Arabidopsis thaliana: one gene and its partners. The protein of the gene in region 3 purifies or fractionates together with the protein of the main gene of each other region. This does not show direct contact. Each region holds a gene or a part of one and is shown on either strand. Other genes may lie near its edges.

What was found. Proteins that work in one complex are often made in the same cells at the same time.
Region 1: the proteins of EIF3B-2 (region 3) and AT5G37475 fractionate together in Arabidopsis thaliana (co-fractionation; one large-scale study listed by BioGRID). This does not show direct contact.
Region 2: the proteins of EIF3B-2 (region 3) and AT1G04810 fractionate together in Arabidopsis thaliana (co-fractionation; one large-scale study listed by BioGRID). This does not show direct contact.

The regions. Positions count from the first base shown.
Region 1 is NC_003076.8:14,865,029-14,871,629, forward strand, and holds AT5G37475 (Translation initiation factor eIF3 subunit), read right to left. Parts: upstream 3,748-6,601; 5' UTR 3,579-3,747; exon of another isoform or gene 2,779-3,578; 5' UTR 2,722-2,778; coding exon 2,709-2,721; intron 2,489-2,708; coding exon 2,370-2,488; intron 2,276-2,369; coding exon 2,127-2,275; intron 1,975-2,126; coding exon 1,827-1,974; intron 1,706-1,826; coding exon 1,546-1,705; intron 1,389-1,545; coding exon 1,300-1,388; 3' UTR 1,029-1,299; downstream 1-1,028. Other genes in the region: AT5G37473 (Defensin-like (DEFL) family protein), read right to left, coding at 5,808-5,959, 6,056-6,125.
Region 2 is NC_003070.9:1,347,490-1,356,494, reverse strand, and holds AT1G04810 (26S proteasome regulatory complex, non-ATPase subcomplex, Rpn2/Psmd1 subunit), read right to left. Parts: upstream 6,416-9,005; 5' UTR 6,192-6,415; coding exon 6,046-6,191; intron 5,663-6,045; coding exon 5,593-5,662; intron 5,389-5,592; coding exon 5,283-5,388; intron 4,970-5,282; coding exon 4,861-4,969; intron 4,783-4,860; coding exon 4,614-4,782; intron 4,425-4,613; coding exon 3,964-4,424; intron 3,858-3,963; coding exon 3,722-3,857; intron 3,620-3,721; coding exon 3,371-3,619; intron 3,272-3,370; coding exon 3,051-3,271; intron 2,955-3,050; coding exon 2,696-2,954; intron 2,575-2,695; coding exon 2,342-2,574; intron 2,256-2,341; coding exon 1,757-2,255; intron 1,582-1,756; coding exon 1,234-1,581; 3' UTR 1,029-1,233; downstream 1-1,028. Other genes in the region: TUA4 (tubulin alpha-4 chain), read left to right, coding at 1-74; AT1G04800 (glycine-rich protein), read left to right, coding at 7,258-7,860; AT1G04790 (RING/U-box superfamily protein), read right to left, coding at 8,352-8,414, 8,498-8,596, 8,691-8,790, 8,880-8,968. UniProt on the Arabidopsis thaliana protein: Acts as a regulatory subunit of the 26 proteasome which is involved in the ATP-dependent degradation of ubiquitinated proteins.
Region 3 is NC_003076.8:8,971,894-8,979,491, forward strand, and holds EIF3B-2 (eukaryotic translation initiation factor 3B-2), read right to left. Parts: upstream 5,021-7,598; 5' UTR 4,866-5,020; coding exon 4,753-4,865; intron 4,639-4,752; coding exon 4,401-4,638; intron 4,258-4,400; coding exon 4,111-4,257; intron 3,828-4,110; coding exon 3,699-3,827; intron 3,614-3,698; coding exon 3,485-3,613; intron 3,397-3,484; coding exon 3,313-3,396; intron 3,226-3,312; coding exon 3,101-3,225; intron 2,997-3,100; coding exon 2,798-2,996; intron 2,691-2,797; coding exon 2,158-2,690; intron 2,063-2,157; coding exon 1,954-2,062; intron 1,866-1,953; coding exon 1,527-1,865; 3' UTR 1,354-1,526; downstream 1-1,353. Other genes in the region: AT5G25790 (Tesmin/TSO1-like CXC domain-containing protein), read right to left, coding at 5,282-5,772, 5,867-5,961, 6,041-6,129, 6,223-6,564, 6,636-6,813, 6,887-6,997, 7,080-7,288.

The sequences.
Region 1 (6,601 bases), 5.9 Mb from region 3:
GTCCAGATTTGAAATAAAAGAAATCTTTTTGATAAACTAAAATTAAATACGAATTTGTTTTTAAAAAAAAAGAATAAAGTTAATTTAAAATCTTAATTATTATTTTTAACTATTTTAAGATAAAGCAGATTATATATTTTAAATATTAAAATCTAGCATGATATTATCAAAAAAATATTCTAAAGTTTATCACTTCATATTTCTCACAGTATATAAAGAAATCAATCTAACTCCAAACACATAATTTTTTAACTCTACATTATTACCCAAGTTTTCTCTAACTGTAATGTAAACTACTTTAGCTTTGTTTGTAAATATTTGTAATTTCAATAATCAAAACATGATAATGAAATTCTGCATGGTGTAACATATATATGCATGGTGTAATTTATACGTATATATACGACTAACTTTTCTCTTTTAAAAAATATTGTTTTTGTTTGTCTTGTAACAATATTTTTCATTAAAAAGATATTCAAGATAAATTATATGTAAAATTGTTAGGTAGTTAATATTAAATAGTTGACGAAAAAAATAGTTACATCAAATATTTTTAAATTAAAATATATTATTTTGATCGACAAAAAATATAATAAAAAGCTGATTTTGTTTTAAATATAAATGTTTTAAAATTATTAGTAAATTTTAGTAAGGATATATTTGTAATTTTATATTCCTTTCTTATTTTAGAAAATAGTTTTTAAAGAGAAAAAATGGGTAGGTTATTTTTCAAACAAAAACTTTTCTAACTTTTCTAACTTTTCTAAATTTTCAAACAATAACTATGAATCTCTCTATTTCTTATCTGTATCGATAGTTTGTTACAACTGAGAACCAATTTAGGGCATCACTAGATTCATCAATTCTCTCCCATGACACATGCATCACTTTACGCCAAAGACTTGATCAAGCTACTCCCCGAAGATTCTCCAGTTCATTTGATTCTCTACGTATTGATTACTCTTCACACTACATGTTTAGGTCTTCTTCGAGTGTATATCTCTTGTAATGTGTTAGATTTGCTGGTTCATTATCGAAAACTTATCTTACTAATGTGGCTTCAAATTCTAAGTGAATCATAGGCCGTGCTCTTAGTACTCGTTCAATTCATATAATAGGAAATAGTGTGCCCACAACAAATCTTATTACACAAATTTTTAAATCAAACCGAGCAAAGAAAACAGAAGAAAAACACTTTTGCAATTCAGTATACAAAACAAAAAACCGCCGACGATTTAAACCTCTTCTCAGTTACAATCCTATAGGAGGTAAAATGCAATCTCCAAAATTGCCATTTTCTCACATGAAATCATCATCGTCCATGGCATCATAAGGACCCGAAACAAGATCATCATCAGGCTTATCAACATGAAGTTGTTTCTTCTTACCTAGTAAACACAGTGAAACGAAAGAAAGAAAGAAAAAAACATTTTAATCTGATCATTTTGGAAACAGAGACATGCTTGCTTAGCTTAAAAACATATAATTCACAAGTCTTATCAAATCCAAAGAATAAAACAAAATTCAAAGACTGATTGTGTGTACCTGACTTCTTTTTGCCAGCAGCAGCTTCTTTCTCCGCCTTCAATTTTTCATTTGCTATAGCTGTAATGGACGAAGCAACGTCTTTAACATCTGCTGCTTTCATATTAGCCACAGAAAGTCTCATCACTGCTTTGAGTAGCCCGATATAGTGAAAGCTTTTCTGCGAAATAGTAGACATAGTTAAAATGCAGACGAATTGGTCTTAATATGATATTTGGTCATATAGAAATAAGTGACAGTTAGCTAAGACAAGAAAGTAACAGGAAATGAAAATAGCATACCTCAAATGGTACAAGTCTCTGAGATATCAACTCAGCATAATCCAAGAAATCGCTTTCAGACTTCGGAATTAACATATCGACGCTTTTCTCTTCAGTCTTTACTCCAAAGAGTTCAGCAGTTGATTGGTAATCAGCTTCCTCTACAAGCCTAAGATAAGAAGAATATTAAAAATTAGCACAATGGCCTTCCTCAGTGACATGCTTCTTACACTACTAGAAAACATTTTTCATCCCATTCAACCAAACCAATGCAGAACCAACAGTAGAAGCATATGTAAGTGAACTATTATTACACTCTACCTCTGCATGCGAAGTTTCTCAGCAATAGGATCTAGAGGTTCTTCCCTTGATGTTCCTTTCGGAGCTTCAACAGTTTTAACCTTCTTTTCAACAGCTTTTACTGCTGGTTTCTTTGGAGCCTTCTCAGAAGCAGGCTTTACTATAGGTGGCTACAGGAGAAACAAAGATTGTTAGCCGCAATCTCAAAAACAAATAACAAACAAAACCCAATGACTAAAAGTATATAATGAAAGAAAAATATACCGGAGCAGATACATCTTCCTCCTCCCACGAGTCCTTGATATCATTCTCATCCACATCCTCATCATCCCAGTTACTTTTCAGTTCAACTTTTGAGGGAAGTGGTTGAAAGTCCTCGGCCTCTGAAATCAGAAAGGAAAACCTAAAAGTGAGAATTCTAATATATTTCCCATATGAAAACTTCAATAAAACAACAATAAAGCCTATCATCTTAGAGAACATAGTAAAATATATATAGCTGTATACAGCCTGTACTACTTTTTACATATTCAAAGAGATTAATGCAACACCTAGAGAACAAGAAAGTATTGTGTATTGAACAATTCTTAATGTAAGTCTTACCCCAATCATCCATATGTGTCGCCGATTATCTAGAAGAAGTACAAGCTGCTATCTGAATCCAACTGAAAACCTGCACAAGGCACAAGCAGCCACATAACATCAGAAAGAACAAAGATCAGAACAAAGATCAGAACAAAGGCTCTCACTGGTGATGCTTAAATGTAAATCATACATTAGTTAGTTATATATCCTGGAGGTAAAATGCAACAAAACTCCTATGAAAAATCGAATATGATATTTTCAATATAGTGATATTCATGATTTTAAGTAGTTAGTCATCTGGTCTGACCAAGCAACAAAAACGTGTGTAACAACTCACAGTAAACTTGCAAATACCAGGAATTCATAACAGCCCAAGACAATGATACAATTACTCTTAGGATCAAGGCTTCACAGCTTAAGAACATAAAACAATCTACTATAGAAAGACTTTCTGATCCTACTAGTACTTCACATGCAAATAGAACTACTAAAATAAGAGCATAGAGCCTGATTACAAGTTAATTCTCAAGCAAGCCAGCAAACACAAGTTTGTTCGTTCCAAAACTTAGGTTATGAACACCGAGTTTGCGACCTGATTCATGAAAGGATTCAGCTTTTAAACATCATCAATCATACAAAAGAATATAGCAAAACAGAGTTTGATTGATCATTAGTGTAATCTAAACCCAATTAGTGACAAATTACACAACTTTTAAGGAGGAACCTACAACCCAATTACCAATAAAAACCCATCAAGCACCACAAATCCTAAATCTAACCTTACACAAAATCAGTACTGATAAATATTGGCATGCCCAGCTCGGATTCAATTCGATGAATTCAACAGTCAAGTGAAATTGAAGCGAATGGAGACGGAAGAAACAGTACCTGAGAAAGGCTGAATCCTGAAGGTAGGTTTCAGCCGGAGAATAGAAATCGCCACCACAAAAAACGAAAAAGATGTAGCTTTCCGATGTGAAGCAGACGAAACGACAACGAAGATGGATTTTAGGTTTTTCTCTTCTCTTTCTATAATATTCGCATTTAAGTGGAATTATTTATATTTTTTAAAAATACTTATTTCCCTTCTTCTTTTTTTGATCACCTAATTTGAATTGGCTTAAACTTTTTAAAATTACCTATATTTAGGTATTTTATTTTCTCTTTTGTTTTGTCAGTGTTATATTCTTAACAAAATAAATAAAAGAACAATTGTTAAAAAAAAAACATAAAAGAACAATTGTTTAAATATAATTCATAACTAAGATTAATAAACATTTTGGACCAAAATAAAAAAAAATAATAAGAATTTATTTTTAACGAAATTAAAAATTTAGATTAATTAAGAAAAATAATTTTAAAATGATATAAATTTTTAACTATCATCAGATGTATTTCATAAATATTATTAGTAAAACGATTTTCATAAGACTTCCAATTTTGATATAATACAAAGACTTGAACAAAAACAAAAAAACCTAAAAAGCTAAACCACAAAAAAAAAATTGAAAACTTAGTTTTTATTAGAAGGAAAATATCACTCGATAACATTTTTTTTACCCCCTATATTATCAGTTTAGTCAATTATAGATTGTAGCGAGATATTATTGCACACGGTAGGAGAAGATTTTATGTTGATATTGTTTTGGGAGTTGTATTTTTTTTTATGTTTTTTTTTCTTCCCCACCTAACGATCAGTCATATTTTTCGATCCTATATGAAGAAGAAAGGTTATCGCGATACTAATGTTATCAGAACGTGTTCCTAGTTTTGATTCTTGTTGTAAAACACAAATGGACAACATGTGGCATCGTCGTTATCGCGATACTAATGTTATCAGAACGTGTTCCTAGTTTTGATTCTTGTTCTAAAACACAAATAGACAACATGTGGCATTGTCGTTATTATTTTAATTATCTGCTAGTTGTTATATCGACTAACATTATTACCATTTAAACTCGTAGTCTATTGTTTGTAAAAAGAAATTAAAAAGTTAACTAAAATGATATAGTCTTTAGCGGCCAAAACGAGATTATCCTGATACTGATGTTAGCGGTTAGAAGCTTATCGCGATACGGGTTGTTATCAGGAAGTGTTTATTAGTTTTGATTCTTTTTGTAAAACACAAGGAGACAACCTGTGGCATCGTCGTTATTATTTTTCTTATCTGATAGAAGTTAAATCGACTAACATTGTTACCATTTAAACTCGTAGGCTATTGTTTGAGGATTATTTTTAAAAGGCTACAAACAAATATGCTCGTGTTTAGCGAATAAGAGGTTTTCATGATTCTGTTATTATTAGAACGTGTTACTAGCTTTGATTCTTGTTGTAAAACACAAAGGGACAACATGTGGCATCGTAGTTATTATCTTAATTATCTGCTAGTAGTTATATCGACTAACATTGTTACCATTTAAACTCGTAGTCTATTGATTGTGGACTTTCTTTATAAAGTTAACGGAAATATCATTATGTTTAGCAGATACGAGATTATCGCGATACTATTTGTTATCAGAACGTTGCTTATAGTCAGCGAGACCACATAGGTTCTATTTAAACTCGCAGTTTATTGTTTGAGGATTATTTCTAAAAGCCAACGGAAACTAGTATCGTATATATTCGACATACCTACAACCCTATACATATCAATAATGATTTACAATATCTTTATGTTTTTAATGCCAGTGGGAGATATCTTCTAAGATATCTTTAGCATGTTGAAACTATGCTATAAACTATATTTTGGTTTTATAGGAGCTTTTTTGTCAGAAATTATGTTGGGGAAGACAGAGGATTAATAACTCAGTTTTCATACATAGATACTTAATATTCTGATCATCTGAGCATAGATATTAATATAGCCCTTATTAGAATACTCTTTTCAATCTCAATGTCATAGACACTTTTAATAAATCAACAAAATTTATTTGAATTCTATATAGAATAGCTTATATTGCATTACAATGAATCAATGATATTTTCTTTATTTTCAACCTTTTGTATATGATGGTCATCGAATATATCAAACTTATATAAGAAAATTTAAATTGATATTAATTTTTATTATTATTAATTTTAAATCTTATGATAGGTGATGATACAAATATGAATATATCATTCTAGTACAGAACCATTTGTCTTCAAACAACAACACATGCCTTTATGTGGGCCTGAACGAACGCACAAGAATGGATCCTCCCCACTTTTGCATACGTTGATGCAGTCGTCACTAGTTACACAATGGCCTTCGAAATTACATACAATTGCTGAAAAAAAATATTTTTTTTTAAAAAGGTATGAAATATCTCATTTTTCTAACATTTTTTGTTTTGATATGAAGAAATAGAGGAAGAAAATATAACCAGTTGATTGAGGGAAAACGAGACAGATAAATAATAGCAGAGAGGCAAGGTAAATTTTTTGTGCAGACATTACTGTAATTGTAGCTATTTTCGGTAAATTTAAGTTCAGTTTTTCTTTCTTGGTTTTAGAGCAAATGGTTACTTCCCTTTATAAAATCTAATCATATATATATATGTTTCTTGAAAAAACAAATTATATATACTATTTGAGATTGTAAGAAGTCAATATATGATATTTTATTATATAAAATATAATTTTCAAATTAAGTAACTCATAAAATTGTGTTATGTGTCAATTATATCGATCAATTGTTGACATGTGTCAGAAAACATTTAACTTTTTTTCTTAAAGAAATAGAAAAACTAATAAAGAAAACATAATCTACATATATTAACTTATATGTCCATTTCATTTTCTTAACCAAAAAGAAAATTAACAAATTTATTTTTACATGTGTTATTGATCAATTAAATTTAGCATGTATTAATATTTTTATAAAATTATTTATTATGGATAATAATACTAATTAAAAAGGTCACTAAAGT
Region 2 (9,005 bases), on a different chromosome or scaffold from region 3:
CATTGGAGAAGGATTATGAAGAGGTCGGTGCTGAAGGTGGTGACGATGAAGATGATGAAGGAGAGGAATACTAAGAAGAATGTTTCTAAAAACTTTGGATTTGTGTGGGTTTCTCTATAATCTCGTCTTGTGAGAATGGGCTCAAAACTCTTGGGAGTCTTTAATCGTGTGTGTTTTAAAACCTACTTCTCTATCTTTTCGTAGCCATGTTATCTCTCTATTATCTATTTCCTTTGTGTGTTAAATCGTTTCTGCCTTTCTGGTAATATCTTATCACTACTATCAAAACTACAAGGGTTATTTGAAGGCATGGAAAAAATTCATGAGATGTTATATATTTTGCATTTTGACCTAAGCATGATGATACTTTGGGATTCTTGAGAAATATGTGGCAGTGAGGATATAGCAGATAAATTTATGTAGTAAGATACTCTCTGATCAAAGTATCTAATCAAAGTCTATCTGATTAAATTAGCGTGTTGAATAAGAAAATGTGTATTAGTCTAACCTTAATTGGATACAGTTGTTGCTGCGGTTGGAACAACTGTATATGGGCTTTATATTTTATAAGGTCTATAAACATAAAACTAAAACAAAAATGGGCTCACTAAAGAAGGCCGGACAAGGTTAATCAGATAGAAGGCCAGTTACGTTTTTATTAGTAAAAAAACGCCCACACGCGCCCAGTTTATTAATTTTAGCGAAAAACGGCAGTTTTCCCAGTCTTATACGCGCTTAGTATGCGAGTGGGTAAGATATTTTCATTTGACAGTTCGCCTACCACGCGCCTCACTCATGGGCTCACTTTTATTCTGCCCATTGGGCTACAAGGAGCGTAATATAATTGACCCACATAAATTAAAAAAGGCCTACTAGCATAAACAAACTATTTTGACCCAAAATCGACAACCTGAGATTTTTATTTTTCCCCGACTGAACAATGTGGTTAAATTTTTGCAATGATTTTTATCTAATTTCCCCTAGAAAAATCATACAAGCATTAACCTTTACTTTTTTTCTTTTTTTTTGGTATATAGCATTAATCTTTACTTAGGGAAAAATGATAGTTGTTTACCATTTCTGCTCTTAGTAATATATAGATTTAAAGAAACTACTAACACAAGAACAAGTCGGAACCAATGCAATAAGTACTAGTCTCCAAGTTCAAAAAAGGAGAACTGTTTCTCTGTTTAATTAACAGAAAACAAAATGGCAACTGATCAAATTACAAAATCATGGAGAAGCGTATTCAAAGGCCTGCGGAGGTTGTGGCTCGTCATCTATGGCCATAGCAGAGGTGGTGGCTGCTTGTTGGGCTTGTCCTGCAGCTTCTGCACCCACTGCAGGGGATGCTGTTGAAGTCGGTGCATCGGTCAGAGACAGAACTTCAGGCTCATGCGGACGCAAGTCTCTGAGAAGGACAAACCCTGATGGAGCTAGCTTCATCGGTACATATCGGCTATCCTCCATCAATTTGATGTATTTCTCCTGTGAAGGGACTACACGCGCAGGATTGACTAGAATCTCAAACGTTGCTTCTGGCTCAACCTTCTTCTCCACCGTTGTAGCTGTGCTATCAACCTGGCATAGTAACATAGAGAAAATATACTTGATCAAAAGTCAAAAGACTGATGATAAATTGATCATGACCTTGAGATTAATCATAGGAACAGCATTTCCCAAAGTAAAAAATGTTAAGAGCAATTTTTCAACTCAAACAGATACGAAGATGTTGGGAATTAGATTTGCATTTTACCTGCATAGACTCTGCTTCCTTCTCATCTGACGCTGCATTGGCTTTTCCAGCTTCATTGCCAGAGTTTTCAGCTTTAGCTTTCTGCTCTGCTTCTTTCTTAGCCTTAGCTTTGGCTTTGGCTGAGGTTGAGAGCACAGCAGTTGGTAATTTGGCAGCGGTGTTGGCAGTAGCAACCGTAGTTGGTTTTGGATACTCAAACAACGATGGTTTTGCGTGTGACATGAATTCAAACTTTGGGACTTTGAGATCGTAGTTCAAACCGATGAAGGCGGTGGGTGAAAACGCCAAGCTTATGAAGTAAATCAATGGGTACCAATACCAAAACTGGCTGAAGACAGTAAGGCCAATGACTGCAGTGACTTTGTCATGTTTTGTCTTAGACAGCAGTCTTATCGTCACATTCCTTCCACCAGCATCAAGAATACCTGAAGCCAAAATTGCTCCCATCTTGCTCATTGTATCTTCATGCTTGTCAAGTATTATCTTCTCAAGTTGACGCCTGCAAAAGCACAGACAAATTTTAGTCTTCAAAAGAGAACTATTCTCACTCCCTCCAATTGATGAAGAGATCGGAACTTCACTAACCTAAATGCTCCAACGCGAGAATCGCTTGCTTCACTAATTTGGACCATCACCATGGCCATGGCAATCAGAGCACCTTGACGAACAAAGTCTACAACATCTGATGTAAGTGGCTCCAACAAAGATATCGCCTCACTCAGACCAGTGCCTGCACAAGAGATGCCAACTGCAAGAGCTGCGCCATAGCGGACATGTGGATTGTACGACTCGGAAAGAAGGGATACAATACGGGGAGTCTACAGTTTAAATATTGAGCCACCAGTTAATGACTGTAAGCGAGCACAAGAGCCCTAAAGGCACTAAAGAAATGGAATATAGTGTCAAGAAGTTAATGAGACAAAAAGAATATGGAGTTACCTGCTCTGGATCAGAGTATAAGACAAATCCAAGTGCAAGAACAGCAGTCCTCCTAACATCGTCACTGACATCAGACACAGCAAAGTGAAGAAGTTGGCGGATGGCTTTGTTGTTTGCAGTTCCACTGTAAGCCAATGCGAGTGCATACATTCCACCATAACGGATGATAGGATCCTGATCTCTAGTCATCTGCTCAATCAAAGTATCTGCTCCCTCTTCTCTTCCATATACTGTGAGAGCTATTCCTAGAGCCAATCCCCTAAACACAAAACCAGATGTTGGTTACTTAAAACATTGAAATAAATTACCATGCACCCACACACATAGCCAAAAATATATTCCAGACTTTAGTTACCTTATTATCTTCTCATGCTGAGTCTCGTGAGCATAAGCGAGCATCTCACTTGCCTTATCAGTTGCTGTTCCAACCAACAATAGACCCATGCTTATGCCGGCAGCTTCACCAGCAACAGCACTGTCAGTGTAAAGCACACTTTTGATATCATCATATATGTCTTCATCAGCTGTCCCAAGAGCAGCCAAACCAAGACCTAAACAAGCTCCGTGTTGAATAACCTGCAACCATATTTTTTTAATGAAAATCATTCTAAACAAAAGACTATCTTTTTGGTGATATAACGGAAGACTATCCAGAAGAAAGATATAGCAAATCACCTCAACACTAGTGCTGCGTAGACTATCACGAAGAAATTGCTTGATTCCCTCACCATGGTTTGCATGAATAAGGCCGAGAGCATATAAAGCACCCCCTTCGGAATAAGGACTCCCGCCACCACCTGCTCCGCCCTGAGGCAAGTATGGGGCCATCAGTGACCTGCCCTGTTGCAAGTGACCCCTATGAATAACACCTAATCCTGCTGTAGCACTAAACTTGGCCCAATTGGTGGCCCTGCTTAGCCAATCCTGACAATTCAAACATGAATGGAAAAGAAAAGAAGATTAAATAATATGCCACATAGTTGACGTTGAAACAAGTTAAAAAGTGGTAGAGAAAATAAATTTTACCAAATTCTCCCTGAGAAAAGTGTCAACTGTCGTTCCAGCATGCATTATAGCATTAGCATAAATTGTAGCACTGTGACATACACTGTTCCGCATCTCAACAGATTGTTTGATTGTCTTCAGGATCAGCAGGTCCGATCTACAAAGAAACAATGGCCATTGCTGTAAATTTTACTATGTGGAAGAAACGACTTAAGAATGAAATATCCTTCGAGATATCAAAAAAGGTAAATAAACTGCCTCACTTGTTATGGCTGTAAAGAAACTGGAGTGTCAGTTGTATTGATGTCTCTCCAGATAAAATCCCCTTAGCCTTTGTTAACCTCTCAGCGTACACAGCGTCAACAGGATCTGTTTCATGCACAATTGTCTGAGATGGAGTTTCATCCGCCATCTGAACATCCCCTGCAGTGTTCTCATTCTGAGCAGTAGAGGTTTCAACAGCTTGAATTGCTTCTACAGGACGGGTCTTGGGCGCTGGAAGGCGATCTCTAACACTCATGAGGAATGCCTGGTGCTCATTCTGTACAAGATCGAAAGAGATTTGGAAAGCCAATAAAGCATCATCTTTGTTCTCTGAACGAAGAAGCTTCTCCAATATGCTTGCAACGCCTTGTGGTTCATCCAAGAACATAAGGCATTGGCAAATGCTCAAATAATCAGGAGAAGCCAGCTTCTGGTAAACATTAACAAGTAACCGAAGAACCTGCAAGAACGAAGTAAGGATGTTATCATTTACAAATTAACAGCCCCTACAAAAATGTTTTGAGTTGACATAAAGAATGCAATGAATTATAACCATTATATTTGTAAGAAAAGAATAAAGAAGATGAGCTCATAGTATCATTAACATAATACATCTATTAAAATCCAGTTTTGTGGCCACCAGACTCACCTCATGTCTATATTCTCTTTGATTAACAAAAGAGTGGGAAACATTGATGCAGTAAGATAATGTTCCCTGCACATTCTCACTCTTTATGATCGCTTCCTCCAACTTATCCAATCTCCGGCATTCTATAGCAATGCCCATGGCTTGTTGATACTTTCCGTCAGTGATACATCTATAAAACAGAAAACCATGTAAGGAAAAACGAAAAACTTGTAGACAGACATAAATAAATAAATTCTGCATCCCATACTTGTCTAGCATTCGTTCAACAATGGCCACCAATCTCGGGTCAATTTCCACCACCTCACTTGACTCGACTGCCTTTGATCTGAGAATAGCATACTCATCTATTGCTTTGGCTGATAAGGAAAACAGAAGCATCCATGAGTAAAACATTCAACATTAAACAGTTAGTAACTGTAAGATCACTATCTTATCATGTCTTTGCGTAACTTTCTAGCAGCACAATCTTATTAAAAGAAAGATGGACGTTCAAGTCTTATTAGTTAGAAAATATATCGTATAAACTATTTTCTTAATCTTCCATTTAATCAGGTTGGAATGATTTTGAATTTACGCCTATTAAGAATGATAACCGAGCTAGTGTCTACTGTCACAGAATTGGATAAAAAAAGTAGAAGAGAAGAAAGTAGCAAACTTCAAAATCCTTACATAGAAGAGTATGAATATAATCAGAATCCTCTGACACATCAAACAAGGATCCAGCTCCAAGGGCATAGGACAAGGAATCGTTAAGCTCACCCAAGTAATAGAAAACCTGAGATAAAACAAGATTAACATAAACGTTAGAAAACAAGTCTTATAATACAATAACATAACTTGATTACAGGAAATTCAAGCTCTGAACTTCTGTAGCAATCTACCAGCTTTTAAGGTATCCGTTTAACTGGCACTCGTATCTCCACTAACAATTTATATAAAACCAGTCATCATGTAAGTTAAATAAAAAGATAAACTGTACCTTGGAGGCCAACAAGGCAGCAAGCTGTCTTTGATGCTGATCAAACTCTTCATCTTCGTATAAGCTCTCTCTACAAAAAAATCAAAAAAAGGTCTCAGAATAGCACAAAAACAGTTTAAGATCTCAAGCAAAAGTAGAGTCTCTACAACTTTCAAAAGAACAAATTTTCCGCATCATGACGGTAAGGGAGCGTCCTTAGCCCAGATAACAATGGTTCTATTCAGAATCAACAGAATTAAGTAAAGCAATTCAATAAAGTTTGTCACTTGTGAATTAACGCATTCAAATCTAACTCGACACAAGAGTGGAAAAACTTGGAATGTAATACCCTAACTAAGAAATATCAAGAGTGCTAAAACTCATCCAAATCCCATAAGCTTTACTCCCAGTAAGCAAACAGAATAGCCTCACGAAGGGAAACAATTAAAAAAAAGAGAAGAGAGAATTGAATACATGATTGGGACACTAGTGGAGATCTCGGGCCAAAATTGGTCAACCAATCTGATGAGATATGAGAGAGCGTGAAGTTTCAAGGAAGGATGGGGTTCGTTGAGCATTGCCAGTAACCCACCGGCGGAACTAACCATGGCGGCGGCCATTATCCTAATCGGAAAATTAGAAACCTAGAGGTGGAGAAGAAGAGTTGATCAGACGGAGGAACACAAGAACCGAACTACTTTGGGCGAGCACAATTTCTGAGTTCACTTTTTCACAAGTCTAATCAAAATCGAAATTCTAGACTTATCGAATATTAAGATACTTACCCAACAAGTCAAGTAATTTTTACCAATACCCCTAAATGTTTAATAAGATTACACTTTCACCCCAAATATATATGATGGATCCAAACAAAATCATAAAGTCGGAATACAAAATTGGGTCTAATGATGGGCCAGACTATATATCTTATAGTGTTAATGGACCAATCTAGCGGCCCATAATAAAAACTTTATTGGTTTGTTTGGAAGTATAGCATATGAGTTTCTAGTTTACATCATTGATTGATGACACCTAAAAAGCTAAAGCTCACAAATAAATGAAATCACATTTTAGGGTTTATATAGATAGTTCAATATTCCATAGATTGACATGGCCTGTCCTCCAACCTATAAAGCGACTACATCTTTTATCAAGTCAGAATTATTTTCTAGTAAATATTTTCTCTTAGACCATACGAGTTTTCACTTAATATGAAATTATGAATAGACATGCAGAAACATTTTCATTTTTAGTTATTGCCCTCTGAAACCTGGACAACCTTCAAATTAAATTTTAATATAATTGATATGAATGTATGATTAATATAATTCAAGGAACTGTATATAATAATTGGTGTCATATGTTCTTCAATTTTTCAACTATATTTGCATCATATTTTTCTCTTTGTGTTGGATGAGATCAATATGGCAGTTGGGCAGACAATGAAACATAAAACTTGTCCAGTGACCGGTGAAACATCTTTAACTGTTTTTACTCAACAGCAATTATATCCTAGTTGTTGTACAGGTTGAATCCATGCACATTGACGAAAAGTGCTTATGCTATCACGATCTCTCTCTAAGTCTATATATATACTGCTCATGCAAGAAGCAATTTCGTATCAAAACATCCTCTTCCAATAGCTTCTAATATTTTAACTACAAACATTTTAAGTTTCCACTAACAATGGGTCTAATCGCCGGTAAAGTGCGTGTGTTTGTTTTGGTGTTTGCTTTGGTCACAGATTTTACTATGGGAGAAGCAGAGTTTGGTGATGAGAAGCCCTTGTTTCCTCACCCTCACCCTCATCCTCTCCTCCACAAGAAGGGCTTTAAAAAAGAATTCGGCGACTTAGGTGGTGGTGGTGGTATCAGCGGTGGAGGCGGCTTTGGAGCAGGTGGCGGTTGGATTGGAGGCAGTGTTGGAGGCTTTGGTGGAGGAATAGGCGGTGGATTTGGTGGAGGAGGATTCGGAGGTGGAGCCGGTAAAGGAGTTGACGGTGGCTTCGGAAAAGGAGTTGACGGTGGAGCCGGTAAAGGAGTTGACGGTGGAGCCGGGAAAGGATTTGATGGAGGAGTTGGCAAAGGAGTTGACGGTGGAGCCGGAAAAGGATTTGATGGAGGAGTCGGCAAAGGATTTGAGGGAGGAATCGGAAAAGGAATTGAGGGAGGAGTCGGAAAAGGATTTGACGGTGGAGCAGGTAAAGGAGTTGACGGTGGAGCCATTGGAGGAATCGGCGGAGGAGCCGGTAAAGAAATTGGTGGAGGAATTGGCGGCGGAGGTCACTGAGAATTTGTTTAACCGTAATGTGCATTGATGAGGAGCTAAAATCCAATGCATGTCATTTAAGAAAACTAATTCGTTATATATGTAACAATAACTGAAATGTATGTCGTTTCTCTTTAGTTTGTTTTACTCTTTGAATATGATTGTATCTTGCTTCTTCGTGCAAGTAAAGTGAATAAAACGATTAAACAAAGCCTTGTGCATTTAAATTGATTTTAAAAGGTATATGTTTAAACTAAAGTGAATAAGTGGTAGTATCAACTTTCTTAATCTACAAAAAGTTCTTAGCTAGATATATTTAAACCCGAGAAAATAATCACAGAGATACACAGATAATCATCCCTCGCGCGTAAACGGTAGTAAAACCCCGTTTAATGAGTTCAAATTTGATGGCCAAGAATGTTTGACTTACCCGCAAAATGATTCCAGAGATCGACCGGTTTGGAAGGGTAAAATGGTAGTTTTCAAATTCTCCGATGAATTTGAAAACCTTGTCAAGTAACTGAGGATTTGCAAACCGGACATGATTTACTCCGTCCTAGCCATGGATCAATGCACTGCACAATAAATAAACAATGGTTACTTTTCGAATCTCTGTTCTTAATAAGGGGTTTTCATTTGAATCAGTAAAGATCCTTACATCCTTGTGGAATTTGTGCAAACAAGGAAGATGACGTATGGTGTCTCCAATCTTCGGAGTTTCCAGACAGATAACACAAGTTTCTTGAAAATTATCAGTCTGCAAATTAACACATAAGCAATCAAATAGAAGCTTTTAGTAACAAAATTTCGATATGAAAAAGCTGAATTTTACAAGTGAACCTTTAGCTTACTTGAACTGTAGACTCTGGCAAGTTGTTAATGCGATTAGCAGAAGCACCGCCATGTCGATGGTTGTTTTCATCAAGAGCTAGCAGCAATTCGTAATCATCTCTGCACCGGAAATGGTTGAACTATCAAGCTTCATATATTGAAGAATCATAGTAAGATAATGACGAAATTCTATCAATAAGATACCATACTCAGTAAAGTCACGATCCATATGAAGAAGATTACTACTGGTAATGGAGTGTCCAATAGCATTCTCTAATTCCTCCAGAATATCCATTCTCTGTTACATTAAAAAGGGTAAGGATGATTCTACGGTA
Region 3 (7,598 bases):
GATAAGATGAAAAATACCGATGCGGTTTTTGGTTGGATCTATCGAACAGAGATGGTTGTGAGAGGAAGGATCTTTCGCAGCAGACCGCCTCTAAGAAATTATGTTTCAGAAACCAAGAAAAAAAGGACAAGGTTCTAAATCACATGTCCTTTTTCATACTTAAATGATGACAATGAAAAGTCTCTTTCAGCTTTTAAGATGATGAAAAAATGAAAAGTTTATCATTGACTCGGATGTAGACAAGGTTTCTGCAATACTTGTGCATTTGCTCTGTTTGATAAGTCAACATTTTCGTTTTTTTTGCCAATCATGCTTGATGCTTCCATTCTTTTGGATAGGTTTATTCTATAGAGTGGAACTGACCAATGTCTCATATTGGTACCGAATCTACATGGACTCTCTATTCTTCTTGAATCAGCATTACCGTTGAAATATATTGCGCTCTCTCATTGCTTCTGTGTTTTTGGCTTCTTTAATATATACATAGGTGAAAGGTCTACTAACTATCAGAACTTTCTTTATTGATTCCAATAAGATTAATGAGGCCAAATATTGAACTAGGGAATTGTAGGGCTTTACCCCGAAGGGAGCCCTTCCAGAAATTCTCGAAGGCCCTAGACAAGCTTAGGCCTAGGAGGGGGTTTGGAAATAGTTTTCAACCAGCAATAGACGCGCCTCGGTTAAGACCTCATTAGCTGCGTCATTGCCCCAAGCGCAAAGATACTTTTCAAGGGACCAAATCCTCTTTGCTTTATAGTCACACAATACCCATCATCTTGATACTTACTTCCGATGTGGGACTCTATATACCCAAAGACAAATATCAAAAGGTTGTCAAAATTTTCAATTAGTGATCAACAAGACAACTAGTTTGTTATTATAGGAAGATATGAAGATTAAGACTAATGATGGTAGGGGCTGCGCGAACGCAAACCCCCTCTGCCACAAATAATGACGCAGGCTCTTCCTCATGGGAAGACCTTAAGCATAGCACCCCAGCGTTATGTGCAATGCGGTCACTAGCCTAGGCCACTCGTCTTATTGATCACGAGTTGACCCCGTCCAGGTAAGTAATTTGCTCTAACCAGCCACTTCTCTATTTATACTCCTGTAGTACCCAGTCATTGTTTCTAGTCTAGCGATGTGGGATAATTATCACTTACACACATCCTACCGTTTAATGGTACTGCTATCCAACAACGCGCTGTTCTCTTACACATGAGTTTGATAAGATTAGTCAGTGAACCAAATGTTATTCAAAGCCAAATGACGATTAATAAATTCTCATTTCCATCATGTATTTAAAGTTCCTTTGGATTTCTTTATATTGGAAGATTTGTGTGTGGAATGAGTTTTGATCGCAAGATTTGTCTAGTATTAAGAATCTTAACCCTTCAAGTGTAATTACGAAAACTTAAATAATGAAAACAATATCCAAAGGAAACAAAATTTCTCTTCGAAGTGTGGAGAACGCGATATCTAAGAGATCGAAGACTAAGAGAGGGTAACAAAAGAGACCGAGAAACTTACATCAACTCTTGAACAATTTCCTCAGTAACATCAATAAGATCCTCAAACTCAACTTCTTTGGCTTCATACTCATCTTCTTCCACATCACTAACTTCACCATCCCGAAGATTTTGCCTCACGAGTTTCTCCTCTTCATGCAGAGACTTCCACTGCATCACCCATTTCTGCCACTCTTCATTCAATGCCCTCCTCTTCTCTCTGTCTTGTTCACTCAATAGCAACGACACGTCCTGATCCTCTGCCTCATACCTCTTGCTGTAATTCCTCAGGTTCTTTGCTATCTCTTCTTCCTTCTCCGCAGTCAAGAATGATGCCGGTCTTGGACGCCAAGCCAACTGTGTAACCAACCATACACAAATATTTTATTAGACATCTGAAAATGGATGATGCTAGTTTGAGACCGAGTTTTTTATTGTTACATACCTGGAAGAAATGATCCTTCAGTATCCGGTAAACCATATTCCCATTGAAAGACCATATGGTGAACCCATTCTCCATCTCGTGGACTGTTGTCACTGAGGTTGCAACGTACCTTTGAAAATAAAAAAAAAGTGCAAACAACATCAGCAATTGGTGAAACAAAGAGAAACCAACCAATGGACTGGTTTGGTTTTAAGACATTAGTACCTTCCAGTTGGGTCCCATTCGATATCTGTGGCCATGAAGTGTTCAGCTGTGGCCATTGTCTCGAGCTCATCCACGTTGAAAAATTCAAGCTGGCCATTGAAACCTTTTAACCCAGCAAGAATGATGTACTTGCCTGTGGGCGACCAGAAGAGGGCATTGGCTTGTTTGGCCTTCAAAGTTGCGAGCTTTGAAACTCTTCCAGTGTTTTGTGCAGTCTTCATCGAGTAGAAACTAACATCCGGTCTTGGCTGGTCACCATGAATCACAGCAAACCTGTGACCCTTGGGCTCCCACGCGAAAGCAATGATCTTATCGTTCTTGTTATCCAGCTCAAGAACCTCGATTGGAATATCCCTTTCTTTGATACGGAAAAGCTCAAATCCAGAGTATGTACTCTTCTTAGTTTTTGTGTATCGATCAACCTTAACAGCAAGATACTCTCCACTACTCTGCCAGTACATCTTGCAGTCGCTCACACTGAAGAGATTCTTCTGCCTCAGCTCTACCTTACTCGGGATTTGGACTAGAGCAACCTGAAGAATGGGATATCAACATGTAAATACAAAACAACTGGCAGAGAAACGGAAGATTATTGAGGTATCAGGGCTTTTCATTTACATAAGAAATAAAAGAAACATACCTTGGCTGGTTGGTTTCCACCACCTTGTTCAGGAACAAACAATGAAAGGATTGAATCAGTGGGAGACCAGCAAATATCCACAACATTATCAACCTTCATGGATTTCTTGTCTATTAGGCTGAAAGTCTCAGTCTCATAGACAGAGATAGTGTTTTTGCTCAGCTTGGCAAAGTATTTATCATCTTTTCCGCCAGCCCATCTGAAAAAAGTTGGCAAGATATCAACAAATTTGCATAATAGTGGAATAGAGGAGAGAAATTGACTATTATTTTTAGTACATTGACATGCGGTTGAAGAAATTACCTGAAAACAGGCCAAGAGGCACCAGCAACACCACCAGGTCCTCCAATTGAAAACTCATCAGCACTACCCTTGAAATCTCTCATCATCCTCCCGGTTCTCACATCAAAGACCTTAATCTCTACTTTCTGAAATTTTGACAAATATCAGAATTCTTTGCATAGAAATGTTATACGAATAAAAGTTGGAAAGAACAGAGGCAAAGATGAACTCACACTTGCATCTCTCGGATTGCTTGGTTCTTGGCTATGGTAAGTTACAAGATATTTCTCACCAGGCGAGAAATCAACTAGTTTGACCTAAAACGGAATCAACAAAAGAAGTCAATTTTCAGACCAACACAGGAAAAACGGAAGTACTATGTAGCAATTGAAAGGAATTTCAAACCATTGAATGCTGATAACGCATGAGACGCGTAAATGTATCAGCACCACCCCAAACAGCTGCCCCCTGCTTGTGAAGTGTCACAAGGTATGTACCTATTGGAGACCACTGCACATAACTCTCTGTCCAATACTGCATAGGAAGACAACATCATTAATTCAGATGATGGTAACATAAACATATAACATTGCTCTAAACTGACACAGATGTAACTTACAGAACGCTTATGAACAGGTTCAGGCTTCTTCTGCCTAGCATCATTCCAGTAAACTTCAGTATCATGGCCAAAACGAATGACTAGCTGGTCCCGGGCTTTGTCATCAGTAAGCCACTTCTGCAAATTTTCCTGAAAAACAAACACCATATAAGTATCAAGACCAAGCACCTCAAAAGGCTGCATTGAATAAAAAAGAATAAACATTTAACAAGACTGATGAAATTATTATTTATTGGTTACTATACATCAAATACGTAAACAGATCCTAACACTAATTCAGCTGGTAAACACATAAATCACTGAAATCATTCAGAGAACAACCAATATCAAGAAGTACACAGGCGCAGTGGAACTTATTCAAAAACATATAATGGTGTCGCTGAAAGAGTAATATGAAGAAAACTAAACTTACCCCAGGGACATAGGGCCTTTCTTGAGGAGGCTCCCACTCCTCCTTCACATTCATCAACCTATCGAAATCATCGAACATATTAACAGCAAATATGTGAGACTTGTCCAACTTGTAGCCATGAGACTTTTCCTTAGCGTTTTGTGCTTCCTAAAAACAGCACAGACATTGAGACAAACTCTTAGAAAATACACTTACCATTGAAAACAATCTAGTTCTGTGCCTACACAATTGCTTAAGCAAAACTAACTAAACAGAGAGATTAAGCTTTAAGCTGCGAGTAGATAAACAACCTGAGGAGTGTTGAACTCAATAAAACAGTAGCCCAATGTCATCTTAGTATCGGGATCAACGGGCATCAACAGTCCATTTTCCTTAATCACACCTAACTGGTTGTAAATTTTCTTAACAACACCTTCTAGTTTCTCAAACTTCTCCTTGGGAACAACAGGGAGGTGATCGACAACGATAATGTTACCGAATCCAGTGTCGAATTCTGACTGGTCATCTTGGTAAACACTTTCATCATCACTACCCAATCACCACAGAAACAAATCAACGCAATCAGTTCAAAATACTAAGCGATTTCTCAGATTTGAAACGAAGATTCTAATAGAAGCAGAGATGTAATGGAAAAAATCTCACCTTTCGATCCCAAAGTCGTTTCCAGGAGGAAGTTGGATTGAATCGAGATTAACATCTGACCAATTAATCCCTAACTGAGCTGTTAGGACATCAATATCAACAACCGCCGCCATGATTTCGAATCTTAGAACGAAGTTTCTCTCAATCGATATCGAGGAAGAAGAAGCTTTGAGGATAGAGAGAGAGAGAGAGTGTGTGCCTAGGGTTTTGAGTTTTGTTTGCAGTGTTAAGTCTTAAACCGTTGATTGATGAAGAAGACAGAATATTTTTCTCGGACGGGTCGGGTCGGGTCATGTAATTTGATTGGACCTTTATTATTCCAAAGCCCATTATCAACTAAACAACGATGCAAAGCCCATTATCTTCGATTCTCTGTTTTGCGATATAGTAGTGACAATTTTCACTCATAAACTTCAAACCATTTTTAAATTTTAATTATGTCTAATCTTCCTAATTATTTTTTTAAAATGTGACATGGATCATATGTTAAAAATGAGTATGATCCTAAAAAAAAAATCAAAAAAATTCCCTAAGCAATGTCCCTAATTTGAGTCTCGATGGCTTTGTTCTTCATCTTCTGGTTTCTTTCAACTTGGATTTGTGTTGCTTTTGATATTTTTACCTGCTTAAAATAATGTCTTAAATTAGCACAATCCTCTACTTGTAAATATCTGAACAAGGATACGATATCAAGGTTACCATTTATCCTCGCACGGTTTGAGAGCTGAATGAGATAGTCCCTGAAGATTGACAATATCTGTCTTTCTTGCTCTAAGTAAATCCCCGAGCTTGTGTCTGTGTCTTCTTTCTCTTGGCTTGTTTTCACTCGGGCCGATGTCTCTTTCTCTGACCCGATCTCATGTTCTTCGTCACACATCAATGCACGTGTTGCGGGAGATATAGGCTTCTCGTCCATTCTATTAGCATCAAGGACACAATCTGGTGAGTCATTGATCTCATTAGCAACTCTTTGGGCTCCATCAAGTGAAGAAGGGCCTTTGTCGTTCTTCCTCCCTTTGTCTGTTTCACCATAACAAACATTCTCTTATCAAAGACCTTATTATATGAGGAACGTTAACCTATCATCTTGTACATCTAACGGCATGATATGTACCTGACAATTTATTTGCTACATCAACCGAGTTTGAGACCAAAAGTGAACATAGCTCTCTGACATGATGTGGTTGGAATGTATTTGACCAAGAAGACCTATAGAAGCCATTAGTCAGGTATCACGGTAGTTTCAAATAGGCAATATCATAGAGAAGATGAGTTTGATATTTCCAACCTGTAAGCACTTGTGGTAGATCCGGACACGGCCTTGTTGTTAGGGAGTGAAAATAGAGAATTTTCACCATTTCTTCTAACGTGGTTTGCCTAATTGGAAATAGAAAAACACAAAGAATTATGCTTTCAATGCAAAAACTGAAGCTAAAGACCATGAGATCAACACAGAATTGTACTATTTACCCTCTGGTATTGGACACCGTATGATGAAACTACAGAATCTGAAATGTCCTTGCTCTTTCTCTTTCTTGATTCAGGAGGGTACAGATAAGCAGACATGTCGATGGCACGGTTAACAGCCGCATTGGTCATCTGTTGTATGTAGGTATCCGAGACCTGAGATCCATGAAGAAGAGCTTTTCTTTCTTCGCTTCCTTCAAAGTTCTTGCAGTCTTGACATCTACAATTCTCCGAACATAGAATATTCGCCTGGTAACACTCACAGTACTTCTTGAGACATCCTGATTTCCTGCAGTGGCATCCTTTGCTGTGCTTTCCAATAAGCAACACTTGCTGCACATTCTCCTACAAGTTATAAAACTACCATCAAGCCCTAAAGTTACATCTTTTTTTTTTCAAGTAACAAGATCACAAACCTGCAAATCTTTCATTCCATGAGGACTACCAGCAATCTTGGGCTTAAACGCATCAGGGTTACGCTCTAAGATCCCCGAGATAGCTACTTGTCTCGAAGACTCATTCTCCAATTTGTTGTGACAATTCACACAGTTACAACCATTACAATAAGATCCAGAAGCAAAGCATTCACAATACCTATATAGATCAACAAGACTCTGTATAAACAAAAATATGTTTTTAAACTCTATTAACAAAAATAGATACTTACAGTTTCAAACACTTTGAGTTTTTGCAATTGCAATGTTTTTGTTGTTTATTTGGAGTATTCTCTTTCGATTCAACTTCATTATGTCTTCGTGAGGTCGATGGATCTTGATTGCTACATAATCAAACAATCAAAAATGCTAATTCCTTAAGATTGAAATAGATTTGATGGAACAGAGAAATTAACCAATTTTTACCTCACTCGATTCTTCTGAACTTGGTTGTGACCAAATTGGTGAAGCGGTGGTTTCTGAGGCGGTGTGACTTCCGTTTCTGATTGTTGAGAAGATTTCACCGGAGAACACGGCGGAGGTTCTAGCGACTTTTGAAACGAATCCATCTTCTCCGCAGGGATGGAGATATCTGATTGACGCGGGAGGAGATTCTGATTACTCAAATCTTCCATAGTGAAGAACTATATAAGGAGCAGAGATTGTTTTATGCTTTAAGCTTGAATAGCTCTCTCTTCTTCTTCTTCTTCTTTTGCTTCGTCGTCGTCTCTTTGAGATCTTTTTGAAAAATCAAAAAATTGAATTTTGATGAGAGTTTGATCAACAAAATCTAACGGTTGAGATGAAAAGGGGTTAATCGACGGTTTAGATCGTTTGATTAAGATCGATCTAGGTTTTTAGAGGATACGAGCGGAATTTGGCGCTAAAGGAGAGAGACTCCGAGTGTTTTACACGTGCGGTGGTATTGTTTTTTTTTTTCCTTGG